Linked DNA regions of Cricetulus griseus. The protein of the gene in region 7 interacts with the protein of the main gene of each other region in a biochemical or structural test. Links are inferred from orthologs where the notes say so. Each region holds a gene or a part of one and is shown on either strand. Other genes may lie near its edges.

Region 1 (3,552 bases), on a different chromosome or scaffold from region 7:
AGCTGTGGAGAAGACTCTCTTAAAAGGCACAGATGGCACACAGGACGGAAGACCCTCTTAACTTAGAGAAGGAATGGAGGAGAACAAACGGTACCTGTCTGACTCTGTCCAGAAGGTACAGCCTTGCTCTGACTGCTCGAGACAGGCCGCTCCTCTTTCCCTGGCAATTCTACTTCTTCAGCTGCCCCCTGCTCCAGGGGCTGTACTTCAGGTTCACTTCCTTCCTGTGCCTCTCTCTCACTTGATTTCATCTTTCCTATCTGGGTGGGGGATCTATTTATGACATCTCTTTCTTCCACACTTTTATCCCAAGATGGAGATGATGCATTCTGAGCTACGGAATTGGAGACAGTACCAATGACTTCTGACACCCGAGGTGGAAGAGTCACTGAAATGGGCTCAGATATGTTCATGGAAGGAGATTTGCTTAGCTTCCGTCCAATCTTCGGAGAGAAAGCGTAAACGACCTTTTCTGTGAATGAAGATGGCTTAGAAGACTTGTCCTCAGTTGGGCTCAAGTCCAGGGTGAAGAAGGGACTCAGTTTCTCCTGGACTGGAGACACAGGTTCAGAGCTTGCCGTGCTGCCTGGAGTCTGAGACTGGCTACCACCTGCTTCTACATCCTTCTTACTGATACTTGGTTGATCCCTGGCAAACCCTAACGAATCCAGAAAGGAAGCTCCACTCTCCAGACACTCTGACTCAGCTTTCGGAGGACTACATTGAAATGACATCGGATCAAAATCCAGACTGGCCACTCCAATGTCTGGTGGACTCAAGTCAACATCCTCGGCAGAATGAGGGGACACAAGAGCTGGAATATGGAGCAGCCCCACTTCCTCTTCACTCTCATTGTCGTGGGGCAGATTATCATAAGAATTGCAGCGGTTCCCCAGCATTTCTCCATTGAAGGAGGCAGAGAGTGCATCACTGCTAGATCTGGGTCTCCTGGGTCGGAACAACTTGGAATCACCTGTAAAAATGGACAACAGTGTCAAAGCACGACTGTCACAGGACACATAACACCACAATTAGTCACATCTAGTACAGTAGTAATATTGCATGAGGTAAGAAAAACGCAACTTTTAATCTTCTTCCCACAAACTGTTTCTGGGTGTACAGATGTCAGTCACTCTTATGGTAAGAGAACTTCCAAATCAAATAGTAAGCAACAAGTCCACGTGCTATAAGCAGCAAAGGATGCATTGTCTTATCCATAGCCTGATAAGAAAAAAAGCAAGGGACTCTTGGATTGTATTACTGATCCACTGACTTTTGGTGTGACACTGGGCAAGATTTTTACTTTCTTTGTGTCTTATTTTATCAATGGCTTTACATATGATTTATAAGTAGAAAACATCACTTAAAAATAGCACTTTGGGTATAATACAGTTTAAACAAAGTTTGCTTATTGTGGGAAAATATCCTTACTATGCCCAAATTTATTTTTACAGAAAAAAATGTTTCTTCCTAATAAAAAAAAAGCATTCACATGCATTTTATAAAGTACTTCATTCACACATTTACAATACTTCCACATTTTTGTAACGAGACAGGCTTTTCACTTCTCAAGCAAACCCAAGCTGCCCCAGTGTAGCACACTTGCTTTCATGAAGTTGGATTCTGAGTTTCAACTTAGGCTGTAACCTCACCTCCCTAAGTTCTGCCAAGACATTGTCCCCTTTGGAGCTAGACCCATTTTAAGCTGTCATGTCCAACTGCTAATGACCCTTGAGTACTGGAGATCACCCACCATCCATTAACAACTGAGAATCAAAGCTGCTCCCATACCAAATCTAAAGGAATTAATGATACTTGCTTTAAGAATTGACAAATATAAATATTTGCATTGAAACATTTTAGCCATTTGATATAAATAGCATTCATGCCGAAATACATCACCACATTAAGATATTCATGAGTTTTAACTGAACCATATTTAATAAATATCAATACTACTGGAAGTGATATTTCATAGTCGTCTTGCTAAGCACACATTCACAACATTGCCATGTGCATGTCCTTTTATGCAAGTCATCACAGAACATTTTAGTCTTACCGTCAACTGCATGGAGAGAAGTTAGAGACTCCTCACTTTTAGCTGAGCGGAGGGTTCCTTCTGCCCTGCCACCTAAACAATCAAAACGAAATAGTGTAAAACTGGTGATTATTAAGGATTTTGCAGTTAAAGGGCTTGGTGTCTTTCCTAAGTCTGCATTTCCAAGTGGGATTAGCTATGCATTTTGACAGTCACATTGAGTTTATCATCCCATTATGCTACATTATTGTTTTCCATGTGAAAACACTTTTCTACAGCGTGTGAACTTTCACACAGAGGTGAACTAAAACACTTCTTCCTTCTATGTTTCCTGATGACCAACTTGATAACCTTGAGTGATGTATTTAAAAGTTTTATTTTTACTCATGTGTCTGGTCCATGTGAGTGTATGCACATGTATGCCAGTGTGCTAGGAGGCCAGAAGAGGGTGATGGATCCCATGGAGCTTGTAACAGGTGCTAGGAATTGAACCAGTCCTTTAAAAGAGCTTTTGACCACTGAGTCATTACCTCTCTGATGACATTTTACAGAGGCCCAATCCTCAATGATGGTGCTCTTGTAAAAATACAAGACAACAAGGCACCAAGAAGAAGGCCCTGTGAAGATGCAGGCAGAGATTGGAGTGATGCTACCTAAAGGCAAGAGATGTCAGGAGCCAAGAGAGGATAGATGAAGAAGGAAGGAATCTTCTCTGGAGAACTTACAGGTAACCACAGTTGAGCTGACACCTGTAAGACAGAGTTTCCACATACTTTTGTGTTTCAGTCTCAATTCGTAATTATTTATAATGGCAGCCTCAGGAAATTCAGTTATTTTAACTAACTGCTAACCTCCCACGTCTTGCTGACTTGCTGGTAGCAAGCACTCCAAACTGCTTTAAGCTCTTTACAACCTTCCTAATCACCTCATCCTGCTCTTCTCTCTTGACAATAAAATCTCTTGCAATCCTTTAAAAGTCTCTTTTGTCCAACCTCTTCCCACCCTGCTCTCATCTCCTGAAATAGTATTCTTAGTCCCCTTAAAGATCAAGTGAATTGCACCTCCTTCAACACCCAAGTTAAAAGTTTTCTTCTTGGGGGCTGGCAAGCTGGTTCAGTGGTTAAGAGCACTGATGCTCTTTAGCAAACCTGGGTTGGATTCCTAGCACCCACACAGCAGGCAGCTCATAGCCATCTGTAACTTCAGTTCCAGGGAATCCAGTGCCCTCTTCTGGCCTTCATGTGCATGAGGCACATGGAGTGCACACACACAAATGCATGCAAGACATCCAAACACATAATGCAATATTAAATTTTTTTAGAGTTAAGCATTCCTGACTATCAGCCCATCCCCATGAGCACTGATATTGCCTGTCAAAGATGCCAAACAGAATTCTACTTCAGCTGTGCCTGCATACTCAAAGTCATTTTCTTACAGATTCCTTCCTAATTAGACACCTAATGCACGGCACTGCCTTAATTTTCTTCCGGCATAGCTTGCTATAAAAATACCTA
Region 2 (4,322 bases), on a different chromosome or scaffold from region 7:
CCACCCTAAGTGGAGTATCACTCACACCAAGCCACCAATCTATCCAGCTATCACAAATAACTCTCTTAATTTTTTTTTTTGAGTGAAAGTTTTATTAGACAGGGGAGGGAGGGGGAATGAAAGAGAAAAGAGGTAAAGACACAGGGGGAGAACAGAAGAGAAGAGGGAGACAGGAAAGAAGAGCAGGAAAGAGCAGAAAGACAACTCTTAATTTTTATATTGTGAGTTTTGGGATTAAATTTGGAACTTTTGGATTAAAACTTTTTTTTTTTTTACATTTTTACTAAAAATATAGTCTCACTATGTAGCCCACACCAGCCTGGAACTCACAACCTCTGGGTCTTGGCCTCCAGAGTGCTGGGATAATAAGTACTTGCCACCATACCCAGCTCACCTTTTAGATTTTAAGGGGAAGGGTTCAGAATGCAGTTTAAAGTTCCTGGAAATAACTACAGACTGGTTACCAGTTTGTTCATTTAGAAATCTGAGACAGGGTATCTATCATACAGCCCAGGCTACCCTCAAACTTAACTACATAGCTGAGGCCAGCCTAGAACCCAAGGGTGCTAGGATCACAGGTGTGCACCAACATGCCCGGTGCTTTTAGACAAATAAACTCAGTTCATCTTTGTACACACCAGCAAGAATAGGGACCACCACCATCAGACCCATTTTGCAGATTAGAACAGAGATAATTAAAAGTCACTGGCCCAAGCCTGGCTTAATGATACATGCTGGTCAGTCCAGCTCTTGGGAGTCCAGGCACAAGGGCTGCCTCATTAGTGATCAGTCCTGGCTACAGAGGGAGTAACAGAACAGCCAAAACCATGTCTCAAAGATAGAAACTAGGGCCAACGAGACGGTTTGACAGATAAAGGGGACAGGTAAAGGGCGCTTGCAGCTAAGCACGGTGACCTGAGTTTGGCCTGGGACCCACATCGTGAGGAGAGAACCGACTCTAGCAAGCTATCATCTGGCTTTGGAAAATGCCCCGTGGCATATGTAGGTGCACCTCGCTCTCAAAATTAAATAAATAGTAAAAGTAAAAAGCCACTCTCCCCCAATAACTGTGCTAAGTTGACAATTTATAAACCCAAAAGGATGCTCTGCTGGGAGTAAATTTCACCCCAGGTCACCCAGACTTTTAATGGGAGATGGGACTGGAGGTGCGGAAATGGAGTCCTCTGGGAAGGAGAGGGACCCATGCCCAGCTCCCGCACCGCCCCTTTCCGAGTCTTATCCCATTCTTACTTGACTTCGGGGTCATCTTTGGTAGGTCTCTTGGGAAGGTACTTTTTCACCAGGCTCCTAAGGGTGGGGACAGAGGCAGGGAGGCTTGAGAACCTGCCGGATCACCGCGGAGCCCCAGCAAGCACCCACCCTAGCGCTCACCGGAGTTGCTTGGCATAAGCCTGCTCCACCTCTGCGCGTTCTTTCACGAACTTCACGTATTTGTCCAACAGATCCAGCCCCCACTGCGTGTGGCGTTCCAGCACCTCAAACTGATCCTGATTCCAGGGGAGTGATTGGGGAGGTCAGGGTCACCTGGAGGGAGCACCGAAGCCCCAGAGACCAGATGCACGAGAGGGTGGGGGCGCACAGGCAGGGGGTGGGACACGGCACAACCTCGACACAACCTCGTGGCTCGGCGGTTCCAGCAAGGACTGGCTGGCTTCCCCAGGCGCCGCCCCGGCGTGGCGCAGGGGGAGGCAGGAAGCTGGCGGGAACCCCCATCTCCTCCTCCCGGGAAGGGCCTGGACAACAGCGCCAGGGCCCCAAACCGGACGGCGGGGTCTCTTGGAATCCGGGTGGCCAACGAGGGTGTGGGAGGAGGCTAAGCTACTCCAGCTCCCTCCGAACCCTCTAATCCCCCAAATTCCGGAAAATCAAGCGGGCTTGGCACATAAGACAGGCACAGAAGGGAAGGGTTTGTGCAGCTCAAAGTGCGTGGAAGGAGGGAACCTCAATGGCCAGATTTCCCCATTTGCCACGATCCCCGGGGTGTGACTCAGTTTCCCCCGCTTCTGTGATGCCTCCACTACAGTGGCTTGCCTCCACTACACCCGAAGACTCCACCGCCTCCAGAAAGAGGAGGGGTCAATAGTCCAACAAGGATTCAGGGAAACTTCTAGGGCTTCCTGGGTGAGGTTAAGTGGCGGGTAAGGGGTGGCTCCGCCCAGCCGAGTCCTGCAGCCCCCTTCCCCTCCCCCTCAGCGTCCCAAGCCCTTTAGGGCAATTGCAAGCGGGGAAGCAACCGAGTGAGGCCCCACGTGGGAGAGAAGGTGACCAAGGGGCCCCCCTCCCCCTCCCAGCCGGGCGGCGGGCAGGGACCCAGGGGCCGTAAGATTAGCCTCCAAGCCAGGCCAGGGCGCTCAAAATAGGTGACCTCGCCCAGCTGCCCCCCCCCTTCCTGGCCTGGTCTAGGGACTTCTTGTGATGGCCTCACTCTCAACTCTGTGACTCAGTTTCCCTATACGGGTCCTAGGCAAAGTATCCCTAGGGCCCTCTGAGCATCTAGAAAGTCCCCAAGGAACTTTTGAGAGAGTGCTGAAGGCAGAAGGCGGGGACCCGCAGGATCAGCTGCGAGGGAAACCACAGAGTCCCGGCAAAGGTACATAGGGGACAAAGAGCGGAGAGGCCAGGACCCCAGCAAGGGAGAACCGTGTGAGCTGGGAAGAAAGGACTCACCCACAACTCGGTGCCCCAATCCATGCTCGTCCTGCCGCCGGGGACGCCACCACCTCCTGCCGGGGTCCCCGCCACCCTCCACCAAACTCAGCCCCAGGGCGGTGTGCCCAACCCCGCCCCGCCCCGCCACCAGACCACGCCCACTCAACCAGTGCGCCACGCCCCTTAGCGCTTTGCCACGCCCCTGCCCCGCCGAGCCTGGAGCGGGGAGCCCTAAGGGAGGAACCCAATGAGGCGGAGCTCAGCGAATGTTCCGCCCTCTCTTAAAGGGCTCTGGACCTCCTTAAAAGATGCCTCGATTTACTTTCCAGTCTGTACCCTGATATTACTCTCCTCTGCCATCCCAAACTATTCATCCTTTCCATTTAACTTCGCATTTCTTACAAAGGATCAAAATATCAAAATCCCAAACCCACTCCTCCCCACCACATGGCAGGGAAAACCTGCGGTCGGTCACTAGGCTCTTGCGGGGGCCACCTAGGCTCCAGAAATCTCCATTTCGTTTCACTAATGGTCTGGTTCCCTCCGGCCACAGAGCAGATGGGATGATTTCGATCCAGCCCTGGACGCACCTCCAGCTAATGCCAGGTCCATTAGCGCACCCCCACCGCATCCTGACTTCCCTTCCTCCCCGCCAGAACCTCCTTTGAGAAACTGAGGACAGGCTGCCCTTGGGGCCCCAGTTCTGGACTAAACACACACACACACACACACACACACACACACACACACACACACACACACACACACAGCTCGCACTTGCACCTGACTGCCCATTTCCCAGCCCCATTTTCTGAGGCCCAATCAGTACTGCGTACCAGATTCTTAGGTGGCTCCCGCGCCCACCCCACCCCATCCCACCCCCGCCCTAGCGTAGACCCTGGGGCCCTGGGGCTCAGAAATTCGGTCCTCCCAATCATAAAGGTCCTTTCACACCTTGTAAATCCCCTTGAGGCTCCCAGATGGAAAAGAAAAAAAGGCCCTGGTGGCTCCCACCCCCGCTCTCCTGGGCCGTAGGTGCTTTCTCCGTTACTGCAGAAATACCTAAACACCCCTCTGCTGCTTTATCTGGAAGAGAAGCGCAGTCCGGACTTTTGAGGAAAAATGCCCTGGAGACCCCACTGGAACGGAGGCTCCGGTGAGCATTAGCCCCACCTGCTGGCAGCTTGAAGGATAAGCTCGCACACGCAAAGCCGAGTGGGGGTTGGGGAGAGGGGGTGGAGGAGGGGTCCGAGGTCTGATGAGAATAAGCTATCAGACTGGGGTGGCGAGTTTAGCGGCGGGATCAGCTATTTAGTTAAGAGTTGAAGACTATCTACAGCTGGGGTCCAGAAGCTGGGACTCTTCCAGATCTGGGGGCTCAGTAGAAGATGGGCGGGGGGGGGGGGGGGGGGGGCTGGAGAAATGGCTCAGTGGTTTAAGAGCACCGACGGCTTTACCAGAGAACCCCGGTTCAAGTCCCAGCCCTCACAACTGTCTGTAACTTCAGCATCTGACACCCTCACAAAGACATACATGCAGACAAAACACCGATGCACATAAAATAATAAAGATAATCAAAAAAAAAGATTAGGCGTGTAAAATAGGGTGAGGTGCCTAGGATCGGAATGTGGAGGAGAGATCGGGATTTCAGC
Region 3 (3,552 bases), on a different chromosome or scaffold from region 7:
GTTTATGACAAAGCTGTAAGGCTGTCTTTTATGTTAAAACATGAAAGTTGACTTAATAGGAAAAAGGGTAGGGTATGGAGGCTCACATTTCTAATCCCTGCCTTTGAGAGGCAGAGGCAGGATTGCTGAAAGCTCGGGCCAGCCTGAGTTACAGAGTGATATCCCATCTCAAAAAACAAAGACAATATAGAGAGGATGAGTGATGGGGGTGGGGTGTTCTACACAACGTGTTCTGTTGACTAAGTGTTACGGGAAAGGAATTTGTGCTAATTCTGCCGGCAACCAGGGATTATAAAAGTTACAGCCACGTGGGTGGTGTGCTCAGTTCATAAGTGAAAGCTGTGCCATGTGTATACCTAGGTGTAGAAGCGTGGGGCATACAAGGGTTGGGTACCATATATGGGTTCACCCATCTCTTGGATTCTTGTGTAGTGTTTCCTGAGGACAAGGGGAACTCCTGTGTGCTTATGGAACGACTCACCTGCGGTTTCTCACCTCATCCTTTCAGGATCCCATGCAGGCCAGCACCCTGCTCTTGTCTCATAGACAGTAAGATGTGGAGTTAGAGTGAGTGCCAAGCTAAGTCTCTGGCCTCCGTTGCTTCTCCTGCAGTAAGGGGATGTGTGTGGTCCAAGCTGAATGATGGGCTGGGTCTTCTGTGTACCCTTCAGGGCTTTGGAAGGCGAGGCACATCGAGTGCTGTTTGGCTTTGTGCCTGAGACACCAGAAGAGCTACAGGTCATGCCAGGGAACATCGTTTTTGTCTTGAAGAAGGGCAGTGATAACTGGGCCACAGTCATGTTCAATGGACAGGTATTTGGAAGGTCATGGGGAGGTGCTAAGGGCATAGGGTCCCAGCAGCAAAGGGCAGAGCTCTTCCATGGGACGGTGGTATCTGCTGCATTATTTGCAGACCTGGGCCATCATCTGAGTGCTGTCCCTACGCATGGCTGTAGACTGTTCTGTGTTTTGGGTACTAATGAGTCTTTGTTTTCCTTTCTGTGTCCTGGGATGCCACACTGCAGAAGGGGCTTGTCCCTTGCAACTACCTGGAGCCAGTTGAGCTTCGGATCCATCCTCAGTCGCAGCCCCAGGTAATGTAGGCCTAGCCCCGCCCCCCCCCACCCCTCACATAGCCCTCCAGGGAGAAGAATATGTGAAAAGGGGCAGTCTTCCTGTCATGGAAGAAAGACTCAACTAGCTCTGGGCCACTTGAGCTGATATCAGATGCCTAGGCCTGACAAGAAAAGATCAGCTATGCCAAGTGGAGGCAACTGTTAGGAATCCACTGGACTCGCCCCACCCTGTGAGTCCTTCTGGTCAGGAAGACTTGGAAAGCGAAGCCTGACCATTAGAGCTAGATGTTCCCAGGCAAGTCTTTTCACCAGGGAGAGTCATCAATGTGTCTGTTACTACAATGCCATTTAAAACAAAGTAAGGGCTGGGGATGTAGTTCAGTTGGCAGAGTGCGTGCGTAGCGTGCATGAAGCCCTGGCTCAATCCCCAGCACTGAATAATTCAGGCACGATGGCATGTGCTCCTAACACTTGGAAAGAGGAGGCAGGAGGATCAGAAGCTTGTCATCCTTAGCTACATGGCCCTCTGAGGACAGCACGTGGTCTGTCTCTTTATAGTGTGTAATGAGATGCACATGTGTGGAACCCTCCCTGGTCAGTCATGAAACTGAGGCACTTCAAAGTTTCAAATGCCCTGCAGATGGGAAGTGAAATTTTCCCTTTCTCTGTACACTCTGCAGTGGGCACAGAAGCACAGCATGCCACCCCACTTTGGTGGGTTTTCAAAATGGCTGATGAGATGGCGTGAAGGGCCTTGTGGGCATTAAGATTCTTACTGCTGCCACGAATTAGCCCCCTTTCCTTAGTCATCTCTCTGTGTCATATCACCCTAACTTTTTTAGTCATTTGCATCCAGTTTCTTTCCAGGGAAGCCCTCATGCTTTTGTCTGACTGTCTCCTCTTGTCACCTCCAGGAGGACACCTCCCTGGAATCTGATATTCCACCTCCTCCTAGTACCAGTGCCCCAGCAAGATCCCAGTTGTCACCAGGTTGGTGGCCCAGGAGCAGAAGCTCTCTGGGATGCTTCATGATGAAGAGCTGCTTTCCTAGCCATCTAGGAAATTCTGGTTTCTTTACCCAGCATGCCTCTTGGCTGATGACTACATTTCCTCAGAGCCCTGTCTTGCCTGCACCATCATGCCACTGGATGGTGATGGCAATGCCCCTCCCCCACCTGCTTAGAAATGAGTGCAGATGAAGGGACAGTTAAGTGCCTGTCATGAGAGCAGTCACCAAATGACCTAAACTAGGTCCAAGAAGAAAGGCAGCAGTAACTGCATTTTCTCACCCCAGCCTTCTTCAAACCACTGAGGTGTATGTGCTCTCCAGACTATAGGGCTTGAAGAAGGGACCACTCACTGGAAGGTGTGGATGGGAGATCTTTCCAGAAGGATCTCTCTTAAGCTGGGTAGCACTGTCTTGGAAAGCAATGACTTTTTGTTACTGGTGAGTTTAAGCAGATTCTGATGGAGATGACAGAGGTCTCTTTCCATGACTACCTGATTATTGGAGCTGCTTTTATGCCCCTCCCCTGCATATTTATTTGAAAAATTGCAGACCTTCAGAAAAGTTGGAAGTAGGATACAAAAAATACTACAACACTTTTCACTTAAATACACCAGTTATGGGCCAGCAAGGTGGCTCTGTAGTTAAAGGCACTTGCTACATAAACCTGGTGATGACTGCAGTTACCAGAACCTACTTAAAGCAGGAAGTGGAGAATCAACTCCCCAAAGAAATTGTCCTCTGGCTTCTACACACGCCAGGGCACTTGCCCTCCCATCATGCACACATGCTAAAAGAAAAATTTTAAATGTAAACAACATATCAGTACCTCTTTGCCCCTGTGAGCCACTTAAATATAAGTTACAGACCTATGATACAATCTACCTGGGTATAACTCCCCTACGAACAGGCACAGCTTCTGCCTAAGGAATGCATTCTCATCTAGGACACCGCCCGCCTATTCCACGTGTAAATACTTCAGTGGCCCTGTATAGTGTTCATCAAAGCATTTTTGTTCTTACCTTCCCTATCTGGAGGTTCACAAAAGGATACAATGCTGAAGAGATTGAACTACCGGATTCCTAGACCTTTGGTTGATGTTAGCAAAATGTCCCAAGTGATTCTAATCTACTGGGAATGAATTTGTGATTAATGGTTCTTACATCTTGGGTGGTAAATAGTTCCTATTACCCACACACTGCTGAGTTAACATATTATGCATTTTAAAACCACAAACATACTCAACACTACAGGACCATGAAATGGTAAGGTTCTGCTGTTTATGTCTGGGGCTCCGGCTCATGTCACATGACCTCGCTCTGCCTTGGGGCCTACTCGTTTAACCGGCCTTTAGGCCAGTCCTCTGATAGTTAGCAATGCTTCCGAGAAGCAGAGACTGGCTTCGCTCCCATGCTTGTGGTCTCTGAGATTCTTCAGAGTGAGATTTTTAGATGTTAAAGGGTAGGACGC
Region 4 (4,258 bases), on a different chromosome or scaffold from region 7:
GGGTTTCTCAGTGGCTTTGGAGCCTATCCTGGAAGTAGCTCTTGTAGACCAGGCTGGTCTTGAACTCACAGAGATCTGCCTGCCTCTGCCTCCCAAGTGCTGGGATTAAAGGTGTGCGCCACCAACGCCTGGCAAAAGAATGCCCAATGTCCTTCGAGCTGGAATCAAACCAGTGACCTAAGAATTGCCACAGCTTATCCACTACAGTCCTCGGCTCTACCAACTGAGCTATCGAAGGCCCCGTTCCCAGGCTGGTTTTAAATTCACTCTCTGACAAAGACAGACTTTGCACTTGTGATCCTCCTGCCTCAGCCTAGACTCCCCAGCAGCAGGGTTTATAGGTCTGCATCACCAGATTCAGCTAGGATCGCATCTGCAACATGACACGTCCTGGGGCTGGAAATTTGCCACTTCTTTCTTAATGGGACCTTAACCGGCTTCCTAAACATTTCGCTAGATTTCTTCCTGAAAAGCAAGAGTCAGGCCCCTGTATGTTAAGGGTGGCAGGCAACAACAAGCACAGCCCGTTTCACTTTCCAAGAATCTTTTCCTGGCCAAGGTGCCTTGAAAAGTTGCACAAACTCTTCTAGTCCTCAGAACAATCCAGGGAGTGGAAGGTGATAATTTAATTTTTTTTTCAATGATGAAAAACAAAAAGGTTCAGTAACTGGCCCTGGGTCACGCAGGAAGGAAGGAAGGTCACGCAGGGTTTAGAATGGGCTGATGGAGTGTGAAATGTAACGAAGTGGTTACAGTTCAGTCATTCACAGGAGGTGGGCTGTGTGGAATGGGAAATACATGTTTTAATTTGTTACAAAGGCCATAGCTTTCCTTGGTATTCCTTGGTACCTTATCTGCCTTTTTCTTTTCCAATCTATGAAGTCTTTTGTGGGGCCAGAAAGATGGCGCAGCTGTTAAAGGCTGGGGTCACGACCGAAAAGAGCATGCCTTCCATCCCGGTGTTCAGAAGGCAGAGATAGCCGGGCAGTGGGGGCACACGCCCTGTAATCCCAGCCTGCAGAGGCAGGCGGATCTCTGAGTTCCAGACCAACCTGGTCTACAAGAGCTAATTCCAGGACAGCCTCCAAAACCACAGAGAAACCCTGTCTTGAACCCCGCCCCGCCCTACCCAAACAAAAACAAAAACAAAAACAAAAGAAGGCAGAGGTAGGCGGAGGTTTGTGAGTCTGAGGTCACCCTGGTCTATGTAGACAGTTCCAGGCAACACAGGACGCAGTCTCAAGAACAAACAAGCAAAAGAGTTCTTTGGACTGGAAAGATGGCTAACTGCTCTAAACTCAGTGCTATAGAGAGGGCGGGGGCAGGAAGATAGCTGGGGCTTATTCAACTCTGATTTGAATAAGAGACCCTCCCAGGGCTGGAGGGATAGATAGCTCAGCCGTTAAAGGCTAGGCTCACAACCAAAAGTAACAGACCCTCCCCCATCTCAAGACTAAGAATAATCTAGCAGGACACCCGACCTAGGCCCTCAGACCTCCTAGCAGACACGAATGCTGCAAGCACACACTACATGCATGCCTCTCGCACGCGCACAGGGAGATTTTAATGCCCCTGCAGCTCCTGGCTGGCTTTGCGACCCTGAGGGAGTCGCTTTCCTAGGTGTCCTTCTGCACCTCCAGCTCTAAGCTCGAATGCGCTTCTCGTCGCGAGGCTGTCACACTCAAGGCAAAGCGCTCATTCTTGGAAAAAGTTCGTCATCAGCCTAGGCTCTGACAGAGGGACTGTTGTTGGGGATCAATGCAAAGCAGAGTGGATGCAGGCACACACAGGGGGCCCAGCCCGCCCGGACAGGCACCGGGTCAGATGAGCAGAGTGGCCATTTCCACTCTCTTTCCTGCCTAGGCACTGTGTGGCTCCAGCTGCAGGGGGGTGGAGGGCACACCTGGGTCACCTCTGTCCTCTCTTAGTCCTAACCCTGCCAGGACGGAAATAACAACCCGATCCGGAGCTGGCTCAACTGGTTCTCACGCTGGAGGAGGGTGGAGCCCAGATCTGGCAGGGGATCCCACCTGGAGACCCCTGGGATCTTAGGACTAGTAACCCTTTTCCTAAAGCTGCAGGGACATCAAAGGCCCTGGTCTCTTTGCTAACTATTCTGTCTCCCCCTACCACTCCCCCCTCCCGCGACTTCCTCTGGTTGAAGACCCCTGCCCACCACAGCCTCCTCACCTCGTGGTCCTGACTGAGTTGGGCTCCTGGCTCAAGATGTGGTACCTCCTGGCCTCGGAGGCTACCTCGCTGGCGCCTTTTTCCTTCTTTCTCCGGGCGGGATCTCACCTGGCAAGAAACCAAGTGTCATGCCCAGCCTGGAAGGGGCTCCAGGACCTAGGTACGCCGTCTGAGTGCCACCACCTCAGGCAGGGTTCTGCGCTCTTGGGTCCCAGGAGCCCCACCTCCTAGCTCTCTGGTTTCACAGGCTGGGAGTTCCCCTGCTCTCCGCTCTCACATTCCAGGGGTCCAGGCTTCTGCACTCTTTTATCATTTACAGGAATCCAGACCACTGCCCTCCTCCCTCAGACCCAGGAGATTAGATCCCAGAGTCTGGCAAATCTTGGCTGTGGTTCCTTCTTACCTGCACCGGGAACTAAGTTTCAGCCCCTCTCGGGGGCCATGGTAGCCTACCAGGCGAGCGCAGGGTCAACGCCCAGTCAGCCTAGTTGCTCTTGGTTTCTTGTCCCGGGTTGAGAGGGTTAAGCCTTAGGCCCCTCCCAGCCTTCCTTATTCCCCCAAAGTTTGTCTCTAGGATTTAAAGGACTAGAAAGCCACGGCGGTGGAAAAGCTGAGAGCCCGTGTGGGGGCAGGAGGAGACCAGAACTGGACGAGCTGGAAGCAGGGGTGGAAGCAGGGGCAGAGCTAGGGGGATGGACGGGCGCGCCCCCAGCCCGGCCCCTCCCCTTCCCAGCTTGGAATTTCCTGAAACCAGGGAAGTCTGGCTGTTTAGAAGAGTAATTTCTTCCAGACTGCTGGGGGAGTGGTTGGTTGTGTGTGTGTGTGTGTGTGTGTGTGTGTGTGTGTGTGTGTGTGTGTGTGTGTGTGTGTGTGTGTTGAGGAGAGGGGGACAGGAAGAGAGGAAAGAAGGAAAGAGAGAACTAAAGTCCCAGCTGGAAGAAAGAAGTGGTGTTGAGAGCTCCCTGGAGAGCTCCCCAGATGGATGTTCTATTTCAGCCACCTTCCAAAGAAGGCTCATTACCCTGAGTCCCTGTGTCTGTGGCTGAAACAATACACTGGTGTTGGGAACATCCTTCTGAAGCTGATGGGACCTGGCTGGATAGGAATTCAGGCATGATTCTGGCCTGCCCTGTCACCTGGCAAAATGCACTCAGGCAGTCCCCTGGTCAGCCCAGGGTTCCATGGTTGCATAGTCTGCTCGCAGGTGCAAAGGACTCCTTTAGAACAAAGACCCCCGCCCACTTACTCTCTCTTTCCCTCTCTCTTTCTGCTGTTCCTTTGGGGCAAGCAGGATTTTTCCTGTCTCCCTCTTCTCTTCTGTCCTGTTCTTCTCCCTGTCCCTGTGTCTCTTTGCCTCTGTTCTCTTTACTTCACCCCTTTCCCTTTCTAAGAAAACTCCTCACTAAGATCTGTCTGCCTGGCATGTTTGTCACCCTCGCCTGCCATGGAGTCCACCAAGGTTCTCCACTCGCTTTACCCTAACAGTGTGGGAGTAAGAGTGTAAGAGTTTGCTGTCCTGTGGTGTGGTGTGGCTTAGGACAAAATCTACAGAAAGTGGGCAGCAGACTCGGGGTGCAGGGGAGACCGAGTTACAGATCTCAGAAGCAAGCCCCTGTGAGCGGCACACGGAAGGACCACTGGGAACTTGCAGAGAGTCCAGAGAAGAGGGAGCACATTAAGAGAAAGGTCAAGGCTGAGCATAGTGGAGGCAGGTGGATGTCGGTGAGTTCCAAGAGCCGGGGTCACAGAAACGTGAATGGATAAAGCAACTGTGGTGTATATTCCCAATGGAGTTTTGTGCAGCCGTGAAGAAAAGCACAAGGAAATGGGTAGAACCTGGAGGTCACTGTGTTAACAACCCAGAATGAGAAAGACAACTACTAAGACTCATTTGCACAATCACTGTCTCTCTTTTAAGCCCCCTCTCTCTTACACACACGTACACACTCAACGCACTCATGAACACACACTCACACACAGAGACACACACATGCATACACACACTTATGCACACACATACATACTCACACTCACAGACACAGACACACACTCACACACACATAGGTAC
Region 5 (4,140 bases), on a different chromosome or scaffold from region 7:
ACTCTAACAGGTAGGAAAAGCAAATACAGAACAGGAGAGTGAAGGGGCTTAGCCAAGCTCTGAGCTTACACACCCACATCTCCTGACTACAGACCTAGAATCCTGCTTGTGACAGGCGCCTCTTGCATATTTATTTCTTAAGTACTGACTTATTCATCAGTTTATTTGTTGTTTCCTTCATCAGACACTAAACTCCCCGAGGGCAAGCATCAATCTTGACTTTTGACCTCAACGTTCAGTTACTCAATACATGTTTATTTGATGAAACAAGGGATGAAGAACTTGCTTAAAATCCGGCACCGTATAACTAGTTTCATGCCTTGACTTCATAGACTGAGCTCTGAATGTATCAGTTTACTACATTTGATCTGACCTGTAACTCTACTGCTTGATTTATGAGACAATGCATTTCACTGTTGTTTTAAACAAAAAAAAGGGAGCCTAAGTCTATAAAAATTATTCCAAAACATTGAGTTTACATTGCTCTCGATTGAACCAAAATCTCCAAAGTTTAATTTTCACAATTTCATCTTACAAGAGAAGGCAACAACAATGTGGTTTTAAATTACAACAATTCAAAAGGTAAAGTTGATTAATAATATATGACGTAAAGAAATTCATCGCTGACTGCTTGCAACCAATTCAGCAACCTACTTATGCTTACAGTGAGCCATGCTATCTTTGTCTATCAAAATACACTCCCACGTCTGTCATTTCCTTGAAACCCTGGGTAAACACTACAGTTAAGCTCTGAGCAATGAGTACACTAGGCACATACATGCAATGTCCTCCATGCCTGGAATTCATGGGTCTGGTATGTGAACACAGAAAGCTCCTTAACTTTTGGTAGATTGTACACTAAATGTAATAAACCAACAAAGTTGGCCCTGTTTGCAGGCAGCTCATTAAAAAAAAAAAAAAAAAGCTGGAGACTTTCCCAAACTGAAAATATGCAAAACATTGTTTTTAGAAACTCACATTTTAATGATATCCATTCTATGTAAAAATGAAGTAGTTATTCCCTTAACACCACTTTGACAACCAAATTATTAAGGGGGAAAAATCCTCAAGAAACAACATGCTGTAGTGGAAAGTACAAAGGGACTAGACATAGAGTTCCAGTTACATTCCTAAATTACTGTGACTTGGGGCCAAGGGCTCCACTTTCTCTTTTGTTTAAAATACTATATACCAGGAAGGACTTCTTTCATTTTTAAAGTTGTCTCCCCAGCTTTCTTTCTTTCTTTCTTGAAACTGTTTACTACTTCTGGTTGTAGACTTGGTGTTCTTTAAAGTCTAAATTTTTGAACAAGAAATACATCTTAAGTCCAGAAGTAGATATAAAAAGTAAGCTCATAAAGTTAACAATTAAGCTGGTAACTTTCCAGAAACTGTCTACTCTTAACTTCTTAAGCAGGTGTAGTCTGGTTTGACATATCTAACATTGCTAAGGAAAAATATAAAATGGTCCTACTCAGCTGAAACTTCTCAGCGTGTTTCCTGGGTTCCAGGGGCACACACTCGGCGGGTGTTAGCAAGAGACTAGTCAGTATTTTAACAATCCCCCTTTCAACTCAAGAGTCACCTCAGTAAGACCAAGATAAGGCCTTCACCAGGGAGAGCCTTCCAGCCCCAGAAGCGAGTCGTGAATGCCTCCGTCAACAACAGGCATTCCCCCTTCCCACAGAACTACTCGCTCCCAATCCGCCATCTGGGGTTGGGATTGGCCCCACAGGACCAAACTCAGAATCACTTTTGACTCCAATGGCCAGGAACTAGTAGAAACTGCGGCGTCTCTATGCATGGCTGCGGTGAGAGCAGCACTCTCTCTTACCAATGCAAGGAAGAAAAAAAAAAAAAAGAACAAAAAACCAAAATAAAACAAAAAACAGTGGGGCGGAGTGCAGAAACTAGGCCTAGGCGCAAACGCTGGGGAAATAAGCCCTGCTTCTTTGCAGTGGGGTGCAGGCGCATTTCCTGCCCCTTCCTCGCTCTGAGCCGGTGTCCGGGAACCTGCACTCCACTTTACCCTTCTCACGGAATCCTAAAGGGGGGATCGATAAAGCCGATGCGCGCTTCTCCCCTCCTCCCCGCATCTATTCACTCCTAAAGCCCCGAGCATTGTTAACGAAGACAGCCCAGATCCACAAGTAGGAAGTAAAGCAAGGCTGGGCTCCCGTTGGGAGATGAAGCTACTGATGCACCCAGAAAAATTCCCTTGTGGTCTAGAGTAAAGTTTGAACCTGCAGCAAGGGCGCGGACCCCGACTTGGACTTCTGGGCAGGCCCGCAGAGGTGACACTCCCTGGTTCTCCAGTAGCTCAGGGAGGCGGCTCCCGGCCGGGCAGGGCCGGGCAGGGCGGCCTGCACCCGGGGCAGCACCCGGGCCCGGGCGAGCGAGCTGGAGGCCTGGCCCGCGGCGGGACCCCGGCCGCGCGCGCCCGCCCGCCCCCTTCTCCCTCCTAACTCTCTAGTGCCCCGGCCCGAGCCCGCCCGGGGACGCGGTGGGTGGCGACAGGGGTCTCGCTCGGCTCACTGACCACACATTTCTTGCCGAGGAAGGAGAAGAGCGACTCGTTCTCCTGCGGGGTGAGCAGCAGGGAGCCCACGTTGGTGACTCTCCGCGGAGGCTGCTGGCCCGAGCTCATGGTGTCGCCGGCGGGGTGCCGCGTCCAGGGCTGTCTCCTCAGGAGGTGGGCGAGCACTCACTCACTCGGTCCCGCTCGGGGTGACAGGGGCGCGGGGCCGGCGCTCACAGGCGGCGCAGCATCCCGCCGCTCCTCCGCTGCGCGGAGGCCGAGGGAAGGAAGGAAGGAAGGAGCCGACGGCGGGCGAGCGCGCGCGGACTGCGTGCCGACAGGGAAGCTCCCGGCTCCCGCCCGGCTCGCCTCGGGCCGGATGGTCGTCGTCCTCGCACTCCGCGGCGCGGCGGCGGCGGCGGCGGCTAACGCGGCGACTCCTCCTCCTCTGCGGCGGCGGCGCGGCGGCGGCTGCCGCACAATCCAACATGGCAGCGGGGGCGGGCGAGACCACGGGACGCGGGACGCGGGGGAGCGCGCCGGAAACGCGGCGCGGCCGGACACCCCTCCTCTCGCTTGCTGGTAGCCGGGGCGTGGCCGCGCAGGCCCCACCCCCTTCCGGGAGCCAGCGGAGGCCCGCGCACCCGCTCAGCCCGGACCGGGGCCGCCTCGCGCGTGCGCAGAGTCGGACCGAGGCGGGGCTGCAGAGTCCGGCGGCGCACCGCCTTACCGCAGCGCGCACCGGGCCGCGCGTCCTCCCGCCCCAGTGGTGGCCAGGGTTTGACATTTAGCGAAGTGGGACTCTCAGGCCTCCTGGCAGGTCTAGATTAGCTGCAAAGGTCGGCCAGCGTGGTTGCGGGCGGAGCCTCCATCAGGTGCCCCCCGGTTCTCGAACTCACGACAGGCTGCCACTGGGGGCGGGGCGGGGGCGGAGGAACAGACCTTTGCCAGGATCAGGGGAGGCGTCTTCATAGATGTCAAAATCGGACCCGCTTTCAAAAGACGTCCACCACCCCACCCCCCCCGCCTGGCGGATCTCGTGGGATAAGTGTGTGTAGTATTTACACTCGAATTTTCCGACGAGCCCCGAATGCCACTTTTTTTTTTTTTTTTCTTATCTTGTGAATTGGAAACTAACCCTCTCTCCATCGTCCTCAGTCTCGAATTCCTGTACAGGATTATGCCTTACCTGTTTTATCCTTTCGAGTTAATTTTTCTAGTTGCTGGGACCTAGGCCTGGGGTGCACTCAGCCAACTGATCTACATTCCCAGCACAAGTCAATACGGAGAATTCTTCATGACTGTGTTTCAGAATATCAGAAGTTATTATAAAATAATACGGTTGAATGGAAAACTAAAAAAAAAAAAACAGTATTTAAAAACTTGGGCGTATAGAAATGATAAATCAGATTGCATCGAGTTATATAAAATGTACATTTCACCATTCTTCACATTAAGGATAATTAAGGATACACTTTATCACATAAATTGTACTAACGATGTTCTCCAATCATTCAGTTTCAATTAAACACTTGCATATTAAAATTTTATGACATGATAACTCTCAATGCATTGGTAAACCATTACCAAAAGTAATGAAAATATAAAAGTTTTCAGGCTGC
Region 6 (3,552 bases), on a different chromosome or scaffold from region 7:
ACACTAGGTGTGGTGGCAAGTGCCCTTTCCCACTGAACCATCTTGCCAGCCCATAAGGAACTTATTTTTTTTTTTGGGGGGGGGGGTTCGAAACAGGGTTTCTCTGTGTAGCTTTGGAGCCTATCCTGGCACTCGCTCTGGGGACCAGGCTGCCCTTGAACTCACAGAGATCCTCCTGCCTCTGCCTCCCAAGTGATGGGATTAAAGGCGTGCGCCACCAACGCCCGGCCTATAAGGAACATTTTTATAGGTTTGTATTGAGAAGTTATATTCAAGCCCCTGTGATAGAGTTTCAAACAATGTCCTTTAGATGTGGCTGGCAGGGACCAAGGGTTTTTGCACACACTCAGCAAGTGTTTCTCACTGGGCAACAACTATCTCCAGCTCTGTTCCAAATGTTTTTAAGAAAATAAAGTATAGACTGCATACTTAATTTCTCCATAATCTCTTCATCTGTCATCTTGGCTTTCTTTTTCTGTTTGTCTGAAGACTTGGCACCACCGTCAACATTAGAATCACCAGCTGGAGCAGGAATAGGGTCGATGACAGACCGTGTGTAAATCTGAAAAGATATAGCTCATTGTTGAGACTTGAGAAAAAACCATTTTCAGATAGTCTTAGTAGCAGAAAATGTATTCTTTGATTTTTTTAAAAAACCAAACTAAGTTATCTTTCCCACTGTTTTGAAGAATGGGACAGTATACTCACACAAGAAACACAGGCATAGTGGTGCCTGTTTGTAAGTCTAGCACTCAGGAGGCAAGTAAGAGGACACCCCAGGCTACAATAAGACCCTGTTACAAATACTCCACCTCCCCAAAACATGTAACCAGGAAAATAATGTATAATGTATTTTTTTTGACACAGCATGTATGTATTTTGAAAATATCTAGCAAAATAGGTCTATGAAACTCCTTCCAGTGTGACTACATCTAAAGTACTGAGAACAATGTAATGAAAAGAAGCACATGCTACTTCTCCAAAGGTCCCACATGGCTGCTCATAACCATCTGAAACTCAGGTCCAAGGATCTGATGTCCTTTTCTGACCTCCATAGGCAACAAGTACAATGTGCTGCACAAATATACACCTAGGCAAAACATCCACACACATAAAGTAAAAATAAATTAAAAAAAAAAAAAAGCATACCTGCAGCCAGGCACAGGGCACACACTTATACTTGGGTGCCTGAGAAGCAGATGCAGGAGGATCAGGAATTCCAGGCCAGCCTCAGCTACATAGCGAGACTGAAGCCAGCCTAGACCACACGAGACCCTGGCTCACAACAAAAACAAAATGAACCCACAACAAAAACAAAATGAACCCAACACAGCTTAGAAACAGAAAAGAGTAATAATGCTGATGTTGAGATAACTATAACCACCTCCCTCTGTAAGATTTACATAAATTCAACAGTGATCATATTCTTTCAAACAGCCAGTCCTAAGTCATAAAGAAAACACAGTCTTCCACCACTGCATCAGTTTCAGTTCTGTTGCTGAGTGGAGCAAGAACCCTGGGGCAGCCTTCCATTCCATCACAGCGGGAAGGGCAGTACTGGAGCCCGTTCTTACTGCCTGGCTCTACTTAAGGCCCTTACTCTTAAAATTCTCTTAATGGTAAGTAATTTCATTCTTAAACACCTCTTGAATAAACATAGCCTTTGAAAGCAAGGTAAAATACATAATTCAGAAAACAGCAATGATCTAGTTTTAGATATAATAGTTATCTATATTGAGAAAGCTAAAAAAATAGATCCTCTTTAGAGTAAGAGAGAAACAAGGAAGAAAAACCCAGTAAATTAAGTTTCTTAACTTTTAAAGAAGCTGTAATTTTCTTTTTTGTCTGCTTTTACAGATAGGGTCTAGGTCTTCGTACGTAGCTCTAGTTGGTCTGGGACTCACTAAATTGTGGCCTCTTAACTCAAAAGAGAGATACACCTACTATGCTCGATTAAAGATGGACACCACCATGCTTACTCAAGACCTTACTTTTCAGGCCAGGCAGTAGTGTTGCACACCTTTAATCCAAGTACTCAGGAGGCAGAGGCAGGCGACCTCTGAGTTCAAGACCAGCCTGGTCTACAGAGCAAGTGCCAGGACAGCCTCCAAAAGTCACAGAGAAACCCTGTCTCGAAAAACAAAAACAAACAAACAAACAAAAAAAGAAACATTTAGGGGTTGAGAGATGGCTCAGAGGTTAAGAGCACTGACTGCTCTTCCAAAGGTCCTGAGTTCAATTCCCAGCAACCATGTAGTGGCTCACAACTATCTATAATGAGATCTGGTGCCCTCTTTTGGTCTGCAGGCAACGTGTAGGCAGAACACACTGTTTACACAATAAATAAATAAATCTTTTTTTTTTTTTTTTTTTTTTGAGACAGGGTTTCTCTGTGGCTTTGGAGTCTGTCCTGGAACTAGCCCTTGTAGACCAGGCTGGTCTTGAACTCACAGAGATCCACCTGCCTCTGCCTCCCTAGTGCTGGGATTAAAGGCGTGCGCCAACCCCCGGCTAAATAAATAAATCTTAAAAAAAAAAAAAAAGACTTTACTTTTCTAAGTCATTATTATTCATTTTAATTTACTTATTGTGTGCATGTGTGTGCACACCCACCATACTGTGCATGAGATAGTCAGAGGATAAGTTGGAGGAGTTAGGTCTCTTCCTCTACCATGTGGGTCTGGGGGATTGAATGCAAGCTGTCAGGCTTGGTGGAAAGCACCTGCTCAGCCATTTCATCAGCACCAAAAAGTAGGCTTTGATAAACAACCAAGTTTCTGCATACTGCAGTATTTTAAGTTCGAGGGCCTTTAAACATTTCACTCACTGATTTTGTATGGTCTGGCCGAGGGGCAATGACAGGAGGAGCAGCATCTTCATCATCATCGTCTTCCTCTGTCACTACTGCTGACGTTTCTGATCCCTTAGTATTCAGCTGCACTCATCATGGGAGCAAAAAAGGAGGACAAGCCAGAAAAATTAAAAGGTTAAAATGTAAATTTATTTCTTCAACAGCTCATTTAAAAACAACTGAACTCCACTGGTTCTGATATAACCAATTAAAAAGTAAATGAATATGTACGGCAAGTATCATTTTTAGTGGGGAGGAGGTTCTGCTAAGGACTGAACCCAGGCCTGTGTATGGTGTAATAGCTTTACTACTGAGCTACATCCATAGCTCCTAGGTAAGCAATCCATTTCACTGGACCAAAGCAAAGGCCCTCTGGACGATGTAAAAAAACCTCATTTTGAGGCATTTAAAAGATCTAGGTACAACAGTTAATAAAGCAAGAAAAGGAGCTGACATGTGTGAACTATTTAGAATGTGCCTCAGTTTACCATACCCAGAAAGGTACTGGAAGGAGGTTTGGGGAAAAGAGAATATGCAAACCAGTTCACCATATTCACGTTCAATATGGCAACACTGGAGAAGTAGCTAAATTGCTCTGGAAGTTATTATTAAGTTTATTGCTTTAAAGTGCCCATAAAATTCTATTTACTTAACGTGACTTTTTCAATTAATCAAGTAGGTAACTTAAGAAAAAAACAGCA
Region 7 (4,331 bases):
TCGGGAAGCATCTGAGACTAGGACAGGATCCCTATTCTCTAGCGGCTTTCGCACTAACAGGGAAGACAGCAAACAAACAGGTACCAAGAAGACAGGGAAGGTAGAAGGATTTGAGAGATCAGAGCTGAAGGGACTAGCACAAGACACCCCAAGTTCTCAGCACAAAGGAGATTTATTTGACCCAGGGGGACAGAGGGCAGGGAATATGAGACAAAGACAGGAGACAGAGGACCAGGGAGAAGGGAAAGAGAACAAGGGAGAGGAGGGAAGGAATATTTGTCCCAGAGGTACAAAGGACTGCCTCTGGATTGAGAGGAGACAGACATGGCCCATAGACAAACAGCAGTTTATAAAGGTAAAAGGGGGAAATCCTGAGTTAGGATGAAATTTGACTGGACAGGTTAATTAGGTAAGACAAAGGGGGGTTTTGATCGCTGGACTACAATACTTTGATAGCTGGACATTGGCAGTCAGCCTCAGGAGGAGGAAGTGGCTAAATAAGGGAATGGACCATGGTGGCTAGTTTTAGGATTATAATCTAACGATTTTTAGCAAGACAGAGGGGATGTGGGAGGACAAGGCCATGTTTGCCACACTCGGGCTGGCTAGAGTCCCTTCAAGAGTCAACCTAGGGGGCCAGGGAAGAGGAGCTAGGCAGAGTAAATGCAGGACCTTTTTGAGGGGGCGGGTCTCTAGCTCTAAACAAAACCCAGGGCAATATTCTATTCTCACTCCTTGACAGGCAGATTGTTTAGAGGCCCGTGGGCTTCAGAAAGCTGTGCACAACAAGTCTCTATTTCTCTTTGAGAAGCAAAAAAGGATGCAGGGTGTGGAGATGCATGCCTACAATCCCAGCACTTGGGAGGTGCAAGGATGAGGATCAGGAGTTCAAGGTCAACCTCTGCTACATAGTTGTGTTCAAAGCCAGCCTGGGCTACATGAGACCCTGTCTCAAACGTCATTAAAGAAAGGTACCCTGGTCATGGGGATGCACATCTTTAATCCCAGCACATAGGAAGCAGAGGCAAGCGGATCTCCAAGTTCCAGGCCAGCCTGGACCATATAGCAAGTTCCAGACAGCCAGGGCTATACACAGAAACCCTGTCTCAAAAAAACCAAGCCAAGCCAAACCAAACCAAACCAAACCAAAAAGACATCCCAGACATGGTGTTGAGTATCAGCACGCAGGAAGCAGAAGCAGGAGAATATGAGTTCTGGGACAGTCTGGTCTATATAGCCATTCTAGGACAGCAAGGGCTATATAATGACACCTTGTCTCAAAATAAAAAAATTAAAAATAAGATATATTTACAATGCTTTTCTTCACAAAGTTCCAAGGACAAAAACAAACTTTAGTGACAACACTGTGAACACTTCTGTTCATAGTTTTATTACGAATAAAAATCACTGGTAAAACGTGCAGAAAACCTGAGTATAGGAGGAACTCAGCCCGCGCGTGCGCGATACGGGCGGAGCCACTACCAAGCCACGCCCACCGCGGCCCGTTCCAGCCCCTTCTTCCTCTTTGTCCCGCCCACTTCCGCGGGCACCCAACCGTGCGTCCCCTGCGTGCTGACGTCAGGCGCGTGCCCCTGTCCGGCAGCCGAGGAGGCCCCGCGCAGTGCTGCCAACGCCCCGGCGGAGAAGCTGAGGTGAGTGCGGGGCCCGAGTAGCCTCCCCGCGGGAGTGTGTTGTGCATCGCCCGGTCCCTGTCGCGCGCCCCCGCCCTCCCTCGGTCCTCGAGGATGCTCGCGGTCGGGGGCATCCCGGTACCTGCGGGCCTCGAGGGGGGGGATTGCCGGGTTCGCGTGCGCCCGCGGGCCCGGGTTCTGAGGGGAACGAGGCGGGGTCGCGGAGAGATTTGGGGCCGGAATGGCGACGAGGCGCTGCCGGGGATGGCGGCGGCGGAGGGCGCATCCCGGCCGAGCTGTCAGTGGCGGCGGGAGAACCAGGCACACCCATCCCACCGGCTCCCCTCCCCCTCCGCCCGTCCGCCCTCCCGCCCGCCCGGGCTCCGCAGACTCCTGGACGGGGGCAGCGGACGTAGGGCCGGGTTCCGGGCCGGGGGCTGGGGGCCGGGGGCCGGGGGCCGCCGGCCGCCGTCTACGTTTTCGGTCTCGACTTCCTGCTTCCCGGGCTCCGCCGTGGACGCGTTGCTGCGGGCGGGCGGCGGGGGAGGGGAGCGGAACTGCGGCCGCAGGGCCGGGCCGGGGCCACGGTGACGGACCGGGCGGCTCTGCGCCTGCGCCCCTCGGCGGTCCCCAGCCCCGCGCTGTGTCCGTCCGCTCCTGCCCCGCGGCTCCCGGGGCTCCCGCGACTGGGCCGGCCTCCTTGCCTTCCGGGACCTGTCTAAGCACCTCCCGAAACCCCGCCTGGCCGCTTGCTCGGTTCCTCATTACTAGCAGGAAATTTTCTTTGTTGGTTTTTCTATTTTTTTTTTTTTAATTCCTCTTTCCTCCCCTTTAAGTCCCGTAGAAATGCAGTGTGGAAGATTACGTCATCTCAGCATAAGGGGTGAGAGTTTTAACTCCTACAAGTCAGGGCTCCACAAATTAAGATACATCTTGTGGCCTTAGTGGGTCACTCCACTCAGCACGTCGGTTCAGAGTCAGGTGGTGTGTTTTTTTTTTTTGTTGTTGTTGAAATCATGTTGCCTGCCTTGATGGCTGCCTGAGATGCATCTAAAATACGGAAAGGTTAAAAATCTTAGGCTTAGGTTATTTTTGGCCAGGGAATACACACTGTCTGCAGCCACTTAGGTAGGCATGAACTTTAAAGGTCCCCTTGGCTGTCTGTACTCGGTTGAACTTTCTTGTGGGAGCAATTCTTTGCCACACTGACCAATTGTGACTTAACCTGATGTAAGGAACCTAAATTTGGTGCATGGTGCTAAGGGTGAGCTAAAAAGAGAATTTAGTTGTATATCTGATTTGTCTTTGTTAGAATTGCAACTTAAAGTTGCATGCTTTAGTTTTACCATTAAAAATGGTTTTCGGATTTATTTTTTATTTTGAAACAGGGTCTCTATGTTTAGTTCTGGCTAGCCTTGACCTTAAAGGGACATTCCTTCCTTCTAAGTCTCTCTTTATAGGACTTATTTATGTTCTGTCATGGGAAACTGATAGAATAGTCCCTGCCGCCTAAGTGCTGGGATTACAGGCATGAACTACTTAAATTACCACCCTTGGTTTTAATTTTTAACCCCCAAAACTTGAGTAATATTTTTAGACTTGTATCACTAGAATTGTGTCCTTTGATTATAAAATGCAGCAGTGCTGAAGAACATTAACATTGCAGAGCAAATGAGGTCCACTTGTGTAATGCATCCTTTTAAGGGTGGCTCATGTTTGAGAAAGAATTTTCCCATTATTGCTCATTTGTATAGAAAATAGCATTGCTTGTTAAGAAACACCAGAGTGGTGTATTCAAATTGACTTTCTGTAGTTTGTAGGTATGGCGCTTGAATCTTCCAAAATACACTGTTAGTCTTTTTGTGACATAGGAGTATAACATTGGAGCATTTATTTACTACTGTATTTTTTAGCTTTCTATGTTTAAAAAGTTTATATGTGAGCCAATTTGTATTTATTTAAAAAGTTTGTGTGTGCACCAGTTTGTATTTTTTTCTTTTTAATTAAGTAATCTGGCTGGTGAGATGGTTCAGTGGATAAAAGCACTGGTCAGGCAGGTCTGACTACCTTAGTTGGATCCCCAGAACCCATGGTGGGAGGAGAGAATCCTGATTCCCAAAAGTTGTCATCTAGCTGGATTTATTTAGTGTTCCATACTTTCAATCTTAGGCAGAGGCAGGTGTATCTCTGAGTTTGAGGCCACCCTTGTCTACATAGAGAGTTCTAGAACATCAAGGACTAGAGAGACCCTGTCTTGAAAAAAGAAAAACAATAACTGTCCCAGATCTTCACATTTTGGCAGCATGCAAGCATGCATGTGTACACACTTAGAAATACACACAGTAATAATAAAAATAAGCAATTACTTTGAAGTTTTAGGTTTTAGACTAAGGCAAGGAAATAAGATTGGTAATTAACTGAGTATTAAAAAGGAGCTTTGAAAATATATACAGTAATTTGTTCAAGACCCAAAGGTGTCTTGTCTTCTGTTACATTCTCTTAAGATGTTTCATACAGTGACCAACCCCGTAGCTTAGTAAACACATTTCCCCTGTCCAGTATTCTAAGCAAGCCCATCAAGACTGAATCCTGAAGTTTACAAAATGTCAAAGTTTGTTTACTTAGGATTTCTTTTTTGCACTTGAAATAGTTTTTTAAAATGTTTTTATTCCTTCATACTTTCATACATGCATACAAAGT

Evidence for each region.
Region 1: of the proteins of Cdc42 (region 7) and Arhgap32, one has a biochemical effect on the other in vitro, tested with the Homo sapiens proteins (3 studies listed by BioGRID). The link is inferred for Cricetulus griseus from reciprocal best matches to the Homo sapiens genes CDC42 and ARHGAP32.
Region 2: the proteins of Cdc42 (region 7) and Trip10 form a complex in vitro, tested with the Homo sapiens proteins (3 studies listed by BioGRID and IntAct). The link is inferred for Cricetulus griseus from reciprocal best matches to the Homo sapiens genes CDC42 and TRIP10.
Region 3: the proteins of Cdc42 (region 7) and Ncf2 form a complex in vitro, tested with the Homo sapiens proteins (2 studies listed by BioGRID and IntAct). The link is inferred for Cricetulus griseus from reciprocal best matches to the Homo sapiens genes CDC42 and NCF2.
Region 4: the proteins of Cdc42 (region 7) and cdc42 effector protein 5-like form a complex in vitro, tested with the Homo sapiens proteins (2 studies listed by BioGRID). The link is inferred for Cricetulus griseus from reciprocal best matches to the Homo sapiens genes CDC42 and CDC42EP5.
Region 5: the proteins of Cdc42 (region 7) and Wasl form a complex in vitro, tested with the Homo sapiens proteins (3 studies listed by BioGRID). The link is inferred for Cricetulus griseus from reciprocal best matches to the Homo sapiens genes CDC42 and WASL.
Region 6: the proteins of Cdc42 (region 7) and Pak2 form a complex in vitro, tested with the Homo sapiens proteins (4 studies listed by BioGRID, with this or other methods). The link is inferred for Cricetulus griseus from reciprocal best matches to the Homo sapiens genes CDC42 and PAK2.

Annotation. Positions count from the first base shown.
Region 1 is NC_048597.1:144,646,844-144,650,395, reverse strand, and holds part of Arhgap32 (rho GTPase-activating protein 32), read right to left. Parts: intron 2,132-3,552; coding exon 2,060-2,131; intron 974-2,059; coding exon 95-973; intron 1-94. UniProt on the Homo sapiens protein: GTPase-activating protein (GAP) promoting GTP hydrolysis on RHOA, CDC42 and RAC1 small GTPases. May be involved in the differentiation of neuronal cells during the formation of neurite extensions.
Region 2 is NC_048598.1:96,232,903-96,237,224, forward strand, and holds the start of Trip10 (cdc42-interacting protein 4), read right to left. Parts: upstream 2,836-4,322; 5' UTR 2,713-2,835; coding exon 2,689-2,712; intron 1,509-2,688; coding exon 1,393-1,508; intron 1,309-1,392; coding exon 1,252-1,308; intron 1-1,251. UniProt on the Homo sapiens protein: Required for translocation of GLUT4 to the plasma membrane in response to insulin signaling. Required to coordinate membrane tubulation with reorganization of the actin cytoskeleton during endocytosis.
Region 3 is NC_048598.1:38,811,040-38,814,591, reverse strand, and holds part of Ncf2 (neutrophil cytosol factor 2), read left to right. Parts: intron 1-671; coding exon 672-813; intron 814-1,025; coding exon 1,026-1,094; intron 1,095-1,990; coding exon 1,991-2,066; intron 2,067-3,552. UniProt on the Homo sapiens protein: Subunit of the phagocyte NADPH oxidase complex that mediates the transfer of electrons from cytosolic NADPH to O2 to produce the superoxide anion (O2(-)).
Region 4 is NC_048602.1:22,427,758-22,432,015, forward strand, and holds the start of cdc42 effector protein 5-like, read right to left. Parts: upstream 2,839-4,258; 5' UTR 2,594-2,838; intron 2,299-2,593; 5' UTR 2,191-2,298; intron 239-2,190; exon of another isoform or gene 150-238; intron 1-149. UniProt on the Homo sapiens protein: Probably involved in the organization of the actin cytoskeleton. May act downstream of CDC42 to induce actin filament assembly leading to cell shape changes. Induces pseudopodia formation in fibroblasts. Inhibits MAPK8 independently of CDC42 binding.
Region 5 is NW_023276806.1:202,727,192-202,731,331, reverse strand, and holds the start of Wasl (neural Wiskott-Aldrich syndrome protein), read right to left. Parts: upstream 2,851-4,140; 5' UTR 2,648-2,850; coding exon 2,540-2,647; intron 1-2,539. UniProt on the Homo sapiens protein: Regulates actin polymerization by stimulating the actin-nucleating activity of the Arp2/3 complex. Involved in various processes, such as mitosis and cytokinesis, via its role in the regulation of actin polymerization.
Region 6 is NC_048597.1:57,460,619-57,464,170, reverse strand, and holds part of Pak2 (serine/threonine-protein kinase PAK 2), read right to left. Parts: intron 2,936-3,552; coding exon 2,828-2,935; intron 563-2,827; coding exon 430-562; intron 1-429. UniProt on the Homo sapiens protein: Serine/threonine protein kinase that plays a role in a variety of different signaling pathways including cytoskeleton regulation, cell motility, cell cycle progression, apoptosis or proliferation.
Region 7 is NC_048595.1:15,952,671-15,957,001, forward strand, and holds the start of Cdc42 (cell division control protein 42 homolog), read left to right. Parts: upstream 1-1,530; 5' UTR 1,531-1,652; intron 1,653-4,331. UniProt on the Homo sapiens protein: Plasma membrane-associated small GTPase which cycles between an active GTP-bound and an inactive GDP-bound state. In active state binds to a variety of effector proteins to regulate cellular responses. Involved in epithelial cell polarization processes.